Linked DNA regions of Coturnix japonica. Each later gene encodes a partner of the first gene's protein in a complex. Links are inferred from orthologs where the notes say so. Each region holds a gene or a part of one and is shown on either strand. Other genes may lie near its edges.

Evidence for each region.
Region 2: the proteins of ANKS6 (region 1) and ANKS3 are in contact, whole or in part, in a crystal structure (PDB 4NL9), measured with the Homo sapiens proteins. The link is inferred for Coturnix japonica from reciprocal best matches to the Homo sapiens genes ANKS6 and ANKS3. Residues at the interface, in NP_775822.3 of Homo sapiens: Glu796, Gln797, Glu798, Val799, Asp800, Glu802, Ala803, Thr806, Leu807, Asp811, Glu814, Leu815; in NP_597707.1 of Homo sapiens: Lys441, Tyr442, Thr470, Leu471, Phe472, Gly473, Pro474, Arg476, Lys477, Arg484.

The regions. Positions count from the first base shown.
Region 1 is NC_029517.1:43,441,232-43,445,633, forward strand, and holds the start of ANKS6 (ankyrin repeat and SAM domain-containing protein 6), read left to right. Parts: upstream 1-1,452; 5' UTR 1,453-1,533; coding exon 1,534-1,880; intron 1,881-4,402.
Region 2 is NC_029529.1:11,295,792-11,299,601, reverse strand, and holds part of ANKS3 (ankyrin repeat and SAM domain-containing protein 3), read left to right. Parts: intron 1-4; coding exon 5-195; intron 196-627; coding exon 628-709; intron 710-1,291; coding exon 1,292-1,427; intron 1,428-1,702; coding exon 1,703-1,861; intron 1,862-2,165; coding exon 2,166-2,291; intron 2,292-2,800; coding exon 2,801-2,916; intron 2,917-3,247; coding exon 3,248-3,415; intron 3,416-3,810. UniProt on the Homo sapiens protein: May be involved in vasopressin signaling in the kidney.

The DNA.
Region 1 (4,402 bases):
GCATCTGATCGAAACCAGCGTGTCCTTTTAGCGACATCTAGTGTTTCACTACACTCCCTGCAATGTCTCCTAGTCCTCTTTTCACCAAACCCTCCACCACAGGAATTAGTGCCATGTTCTGCCACTGAAGTTGCAGATTTTAGAATAGAATAACCTGCTGGAAGCTGTAGGGAATGCATCAAGAACAGCATTGCTAGCAGTTCAAGGGATGTGATTGTCCCACTCTACACTGTACTGGAGTGGTCTCACCTCGAGTATTGTGCAGTTTTGCATGCCACAGTATGAAAAAGAACTATTGGAGGGTGTTCAAATGAGAGATATACGAAGATGGTGAAGAGTCTAGAGGGAAAAGATGAATGACTATCATCTGAGGTGCCTGGGTTTGCTCATCCCAGAGCAGAGGAGCTGAAGGGAAGCCTGATGGCAGCTGCAGCTCCTCACAGGGAGCGGAAGGGCAGCGCTGAGCTCTGCTCTGTGTGACAGTGACAGGGCCCGAGGGAGCAGCATGGAGCTGTGCCAGGGGAAGGGCAGCTGGGGTTGAGGGACAGGGGCTGCATCAGGGGGCGGGAGGTGGCACAGCCCCAAGGGCTGGAGTTCATGGAGTGTTTGGACACTGCTTTCAGACAGACATAGGGTTTGAAAGACAAAGAGTTGCACTCAGTGATCCCTATGGTATCCTTCCATCTCAGGATACTCTATGAATCTCTAGAAAAAACTGGAGGGGCATAATACCATACTCTTAAGCGATATGTCAACTGTAGTTTATTTCACCAGAGCTTTGTATATATGTATGTATATATAATTTATTTTTATTTTCCTCTCACTTTAGCTGTTGTAATTCAGTATAACCTGGAAAAGGTATCAAGTTAACTTGGAGGCTTGGAGAGAGTAAAGAGACTTGAAAATGCCAAAAGAGATCAGCTTTACACTCGGAAGTCTTTAAATTGAGGACCAGCTGATAGGCACTATCCGGGTGCAAAGAGGAGTGTGTTGGGTGATAACCAGATCCCTTATTGAGGGAAGGAGAGAGACTGGAAGAGAGGGAAAAGCTAAGCAGGAAGGTGCAGGTATAAAGTAGCTATAGTTGGGCTAGCAGAGAACAGCTGGGCTGTGGAAGCTATGCTACAGAGCAGGAGAAAGGAACTGCTTTTTCAGGCAAAAGACAGTTCTGTAACAAGGGCTTGCTGTGGTGGAAGGAAAACTGGTACCGTGGAGTTAGTTCTTTGTGTGGAAGTAACCGCAGCACGAACATGGCGTGGAAAACAGCTGCTAAGACACAGACCCCCGGAGAAGGGGCAGGAGCCGCGGAGCCCCAAGCACCGCCTGGATTAGAAGGCAAGGCCGGTCCTTACGGCTCTGAGGACCGCAGCTGAGGCGGCTTTCCTTCCTCCCGTAGCGAGCGCGGTCGGGCCGCCCTCGGCCTGCCTCCTCCCGCCGCCGGAGTCCCCTCCTCCCCACCGCTGCCTTCCCAGCCGCCGCCGGGGGCGGGCGGGCACGGGCGGCCGAGCTGCTCGGGCCCTGCCGGCGCTGCCCATGGGGGAATGCGGGGTGCCCGCCCAGGTCCAGCTCTTCCTCCGTGCTTGCGAGCAGGGCGACTGCGAGACCGCCCGGCGTCTGCTGGGGCTTCCCGGGGGCACCGCCGGGTCGGCGGCCGCCTCCGCCTGCGGCACCGACGAGGCGGCGGAGTCCCGCGGAGAAGCGGCCGCCGCCGCCCCTTCCCCCGCCGTCGCCGTGGACTGCACCGACGAGGCGGGCAACACGGGGCTGCAATTCGCCGCGGCGGGTGGCCACGAGCAGCTGGTGCGGTTCCTGCTGCGGAAGGGAGCCTCGGTGCAGAGCACGAACCACTACGGCTGGAGCCCGCTGATGCAAGCGGCCAGGTAGGGGCGCCCGCTTCCCCGCCGCGCCGCAGGCCCGGGGCGGGCGGACACCGGCCTAAGCGGCGGCTGCCTGCACCCCAGGGCGGAGCAAGCGAGGGAGAACCCCGTAGGGGCTGGGCCGTGGGGAGCTGTGATTTTTCTGAGGGGCCAGTCACCTGTCGACTCCCCGGATGACGGTCCCGAGCCGGGAGTGTGAGCTGGGATGAGTGTTCTGGTCAAGTGTTGAGTTTCCTTTTTCTTCCTCTTAACTACGGCCGCGTAGGTATGGAAGGGGCATGAAGGGGTGCGATGGTTGATTCTAGGCAGGTTGTGTTGTTGCTTGAGCAAACCTAATGCAGAGCTAAGGCGCCCTGAAGCCTTGACCTGAACGTGAAAGCACTGCCTGCCCCTCGTCTGTTCAACCGTGCTTCGTTTTCTATTGTTTTCACATCTACCTGTTGAAAAACTCTGACATAACATAGATTGAAGTAAGTAGAAATAATTGATTTCTCTCAAGCTTTTCCTTCCTTTACTAAATGGAGAAGGATATGCTTATTGCTGGAGGATACACAAAATGATTCCTGATCATACCTGTATGAACTCTAACGGATGTTAGGGTGAAGTTCTTCACTAGGAGAGTGGTTAGGTCCTGGTACAGGCTGCCCAGGGAGGTTGTGGATGCCCCGTCCTTGGAGGTGTTCAAGACCAGGTTGGACGGGGCCCTGGGCAACCTGATCTAGTAAAGGTGTATGTTTGGTGGCCCTGCCAGGCAGGGGGGTTGAAACAACATGATCCTTGAGGTCCCTTCCAACCCGGGTCATTCTGTGATTCGTGCAGATGTTAATGACAGCTCAGGATCTCTGTGCATCATACCACTCTATCATTCACTGCAGAGCTGCAGTAGGCTCTGGTATTGCTGCTGCTTGTGTTTGTGTTTATCTTCACATACAAGAATACCCTGTGGAATTACGTATTTTGCAAGATTTGAGGGCAGTATGAATTGAACGTTTGAGAGGTTATTTTTGTATTTTTTTTTTTTTCTTTCATAACATTAAAATACTTGGAAGAAAAGGATCTGTTTGAAAGTCAACATTCTCCTTTCAGTTAAAGCCCACAGAAAGTTCCCAAAGAATGAGTCACACAGCTGGTTTTCCAGTAAGAACAAGGAAGACAAGGTTCAGCAGTTCTGTTATTTCATGAAGGTTAAAAAAAAAAGTACCAAAAACATTCATAGATTTTTCTTTTCTTTAATGAAAACCTTACACTCCTTCTCTAGAGACAATAAACAAAATCACTATAGCCTGCTCATTGTTTGACTTGTTACTGTTTGAGAAGTACTATAGATACAGAGATCTGCAGAGAAAGCTTAAAATAGCAGAACGTTTTTTGTTTGTTTGTTTTTAAATGGATAACTGAAAAAGAAATGCAGTAACCATACAGACATACTTTTCAAACTATGCACATGTTGAATTTTCTGGCTGCATTTAGTCCTGCTGAAATTGGTGACGTAGTGTCACCAATTAATATATAAAAGTAACCACATCGCCAGTGACTGCAGGAGCTGCTGTAGTGATGTAGTGAAAGCAGGAAGGTTGCATCCCAAGCACTAGACAGCCCTTGTAGTCTTCCTTTTGCAACTGTGTGTTCTTTGCGAGGATACCAGGGAGTCTGGATCTCACATCTACTCTTAGTGGTTGTTGCATTCCTCGGGATTTCCTCAAATAACAGATTGTCTTTCTTTAGCATGTGAAAGGAGCTTTCAGGATCAAAACTCGATTGTTTTTAACCCTGCACACACATTTAGTAATGCATGGTAGCTGCAATGAGCTGCACAGAAGTGTATATCCTGTGAATGTTTTATATTTATTAAAATGAGAAATTATTTCTTCAGCAGAGGAGGGATCTAGGATTCCCATTTCCTCATTGCAAGCTAGCTGATTGATGGGGTGGCCTGTATGGTTGCCTTTTGCTCACTGACAAATTACTACAGCTTCTGACAGCCAGGATGCATTGAAGCTGTTCTTTCGGTGAAACCAGTGTTAGAATCCAAGTTCCAACACAAGGAGAGTTTTTCTGTTCCCCCAGTGCTAAGTTCATCTTCTCTTATTATATCAGTGGCTACCTACTATATTGTTTTCTAAGCTTCATAAGCACATCACACTTGCCTGTGTTCACTGAGTCTTCTTTCACTGTGGGAGTTGGTTCATTTTTCCCAACTGCAAAACAGGGGATGATGCTATTACAAAATATAAGCAAACCATTTCATATAATGGCCTGGCTTTTTCCTTTTCCTTTTCCACTTTCTTTTCCTTTTCCACTTCCTTTTCCTTTTCCACTTCCTTTTCCTTTTCCACTTCCTTTTCCTTTTCCTTATCTTTTTTCTTAGCATGAACTATTTGCAATTTTTACCGTACTTCTTTAATAGTAAAGAGGGTATTTATTTAATACCTTTATGAGCAAACTGACTTTGATTGCCAACTCTAATATGGGCCATGGGATACAGGGCTGAAAGTGAGTTCAAGTCTTGTAATTTATGGAAGCTA
Region 2 (3,810 bases), on another chromosome or scaffold:
ACAGGGATTTAAACTCTCTTGGTATCACAGCACAGAGGGGATGCAGTTAAGAACATTCTCTGTTCTCTTGAAGCAAGGCGCAGAGCTGGAGATGAAAGATATTCATGGTTGGACTGCCTTATTTCACTGTACCAGTGCTGGTCATCAGCAGATGGTCAAGTTCTTACTCGACAACGGGGCGAATGCCAACTGCAAGTAAGGAAGAATCTATTGCTTAATTTCTGTCGAGAGATTAGATTTATTGCTGGCTTAATTATGGAATAAACTGAAAGAAAACAGACACAACACATTCTGAACTCCGTTTCTGAAGCATGCAGTGAATTACTGTGACTTGAGATCTGCTTGTATGTTTGTGCACATTAAATTGCCTAAGAACAGCAAGAGGTTCTTGCTCCACTAGGTGCTGGGGTTTTGTCACTGAGGGATAGGGATGCAGCTGCAGGAGTATCTTGTTTCTGTATTTATTGAGAGAGGCCAGAATGCAGTAGAATAGCCAATGTATCACACAGTTTGTGACCAGATAAAGGTGAAGGCTGAGGGTATGTCAGGCCAATTATGGTATGTCAACAAATACAACATGTTTTATCTTTGATTATTTTAGCTCTTGTGTGTGTTTTCCCTCCCTAGGGAGCCTGTTTATGGTTATACTCCTCTGATGGAAGCAGCTGCTTCTGGCCATGAGATAATTGTTCAGTACCTTCTCAATCATGTGAGTGTTCAAACAGGTCTCTATAAATGAAAATCTGCGGTTCTGACCCTCAGAGAAAGAAGCACAAGACTAATATCCATCTTCTCAGTGTTACATTTGATCTTTGAAAGTCATCTCTGATCTGTAGCCCCAGATTTCTGAAAGTATCTGTTTGTGAAGGCTAGTACTCTAATTGTATAATGCTTGCCTTTAACAAGCAGGAATAAGGTCTGTCTGATGTGACTGAATCCTTTCTGAATCAGGAAGCAGCTAATTCAGTAATCTCTGCTGTGTGCATGGGCTTATATGCTTGAATTACTGGATATCTTGTCTTGGCCCTGAAGCTTATTGGCATTCGTGTTTCTTCGTGCCAAACAATTTAATATCTCATTTAATGGTTCAGCTTACTTCCAGAAGGAGGCAGCAATGCAAAGCATTCAGATAAAAGCCAGCTAGCTCCCACTGGTGATGCACAAGAGCTGTATAAGTAGGCTACTTGGCATTTGGGGGTTGTTGAGAAACCGAGACAAATTGTCTGTCCTGAATATCTTATTTCATAGTACACACCTGCTATGAGCTTTTCAAATGCTTGTTTTCCTATAGGGGGTGAAAGCAGATGCCAGAGATAACGCTGGAGCCACAGCGCGGACACTGGCTATGAAGTATGGACATACAAAGATTGTGGGGTTGATAGACTTGCATGCAGCCCCAGTACCCAAGGTCTTCTGCAGGGGTTCAGGTAACAGGTTTTAGTTTGCTTGTTTTAAAATAGAAGCTGAAGATAGGTGCATGACATAGATAGGGGTAAAACTAGCTGCTCCGTTCTGGAATTTCCAGTGTTTGTGAGGATGTAAAAGGCAGAGATCCAATGCTTTTTTGTTGTGGTTTACTGGCCCCTTTCTGACCTAGTTAAACTCTCTCCTCTCTTATAACATTTCCTGTTGCTTTTGTAGGCTCAGTTGTAAGTAGGTACATGAATTACCATGCTGCTAACAATCTCTCTTTGGACTACAGGAAAGTACGAAGAGCTGAGCTCCTCAGATGAATCGTGTTCTGCCCCCCAGAGACAGAGACCTGTTCGCAGGACCAAGGGTCCCAGCATCCATGATGGACCCCAGGCTTTGGCTAAGATAACAGCAGTTGGAATTGGGGGAAAGAAGCAGTCTTGCTATGGTAGGAATAGTTAGAAGCCTGCCTGAGAGTCATTTATGGTTTCTCAAGTGCTTTACAGCTATTTCTGTGCCAACAGTATCTTTTCATTAGAGTTTTTCATGCATGGCTTTTATAGAAACAAAAAATTATCTACTTCATACAAGGTTATACAACAACAAAATGAAACCCACTGAATGCATTTGTCTGAGCTGGGTATTGATGAATGGGATACTATATGCAATACCCAACCTACTGCTCTTTCTGCTGGGACCTCCCTGGTAACTTGCGTCCTAATTCCTCTGTTCTTTCCTCCTCTTGCACACAGAGCAAGTCTTGCCTCAAGGTTATGTAACCTTCAATGATGATGGCAGCTACGAAGCTGATGATATCCGGAACCGGGATGTTACCTCTCCAATTAACGAGCAAGATGTGGAGAGCAGCAGCAGCCGGGGTAAGTCACTATCTTAAATAAATAATGTGACTTGCAGTGCACAACTGGATGGTGAGACCCATCCCTTGGATTCCATTGTCACTTCCCAGTCTCCTTAGACTGATAGGCAGCAATGGTTACTGGATCTTCACCTCTGACCTGAGTCTGTAGTATCACACCACTATATTAGTGGCCAGAAAGCTGTTGCATTTGACAAGCTGAAAGAGTTTTCCTCTGAATTTAAGAAAGTGCTTTCTTACTGGGTGAGTGTCTGAGGCTGGAGCAGAGTGTCCAGAGGAGCTGTGGAGTCTCTGTCCTTGAATATGCTCCTCTATGTGGTTCTAATTGTCTTCAGTGTGATTTTGGACAGAGCAGCCTCAGGAGGTCCCTTCTGAACTCAACCATTCTCTGTTCTTGTAAAACAATACAATGAAGTATTGAAAGTATTCAATGTATTAAGTTGTATTGAATGTATTCAAGTGCAGCCTCAAGGTCTTTTTGTTGTTTTTTTTCCCCCCATTCCTTTCCAGAGGATAACATTTTCTTCACCAATAAGTTAGCAGCTGTCAGGAGTAGCAGCAGCAGTAGTGAATGTCTGACCAAAGCCCTGGGGGTCAGCAGTGAAGGCTCCTTGGAAAGCAATGAGGTGAGGTTGTACCCTTTCCTTTGTCTACCTTTGGCTTGGCCTGTGCTGTCAACCTTCCACAGCCTGCTACCTCCACAGGAGGCTGTAGTGCTACTTCGTAGGCCGGGATTGTAGGAGCCCGTCACCATTACAGATGGTCATACTATAACAAGCTGCCATCTTGATGGTGGTTTGACTCAACCTTTTCTGATAGCGTCTTAGCTTTTGTTGCTTGGTTTTGGACTACTGCCTGGACTTAGAGCTGTGGACTTGAAGCCTACACTTGTTAGACAGTGATCCTGGCATCTCTGCATGACCATCCTTCACCTTCTGTTTCCTGTTTTTTCTTCAGGATTCTGACCATGCAGGCAGTCCTCCTAGTAGGAAACAAGCCAAAAGCTTTAAGGTCAAGAACCGCTACAGCAACAGTGATGGTCAGTGGACCCACTGCCCAGGAAAGGCTGGAGCCTCTAGTCAGCACCTCATCTTTCCTGAGCCCCCTGCCTATACAGGACCCCAGGTAACTAAGGACAGAAGGCTATCTCTGAAGTAATGCAGATCATGTCACGAGCTTGGGGGGGTTCTTTAAGGTTGTCCAAGCTGTTTTTTTGGCCTTCTCAGATAAAAGGAAAGCTGACACCAAAATGTTTTGATGCCAAACCACTGCCCAAATAGAAATGCTTGTGAAAGTGATTTCTGGTGTGAAAAACTGCCAGTTTAGGGGTTATTTTTGCTTGGAGAAGTATTCCAGATCCCTTTGAGGCTATTATGGGGTCTAGGGCAAGTGCTGATTGATCTGTCTTCTCTGCACTTGTCACAAGAGGTGATGACTGCAATGTGTAGGCCAGTCCTCTTGTGTCCTGTGGTTATAAAGAAGGACAGTTAATGAGAGAAACTCAAGACTGCCTTCTGAAG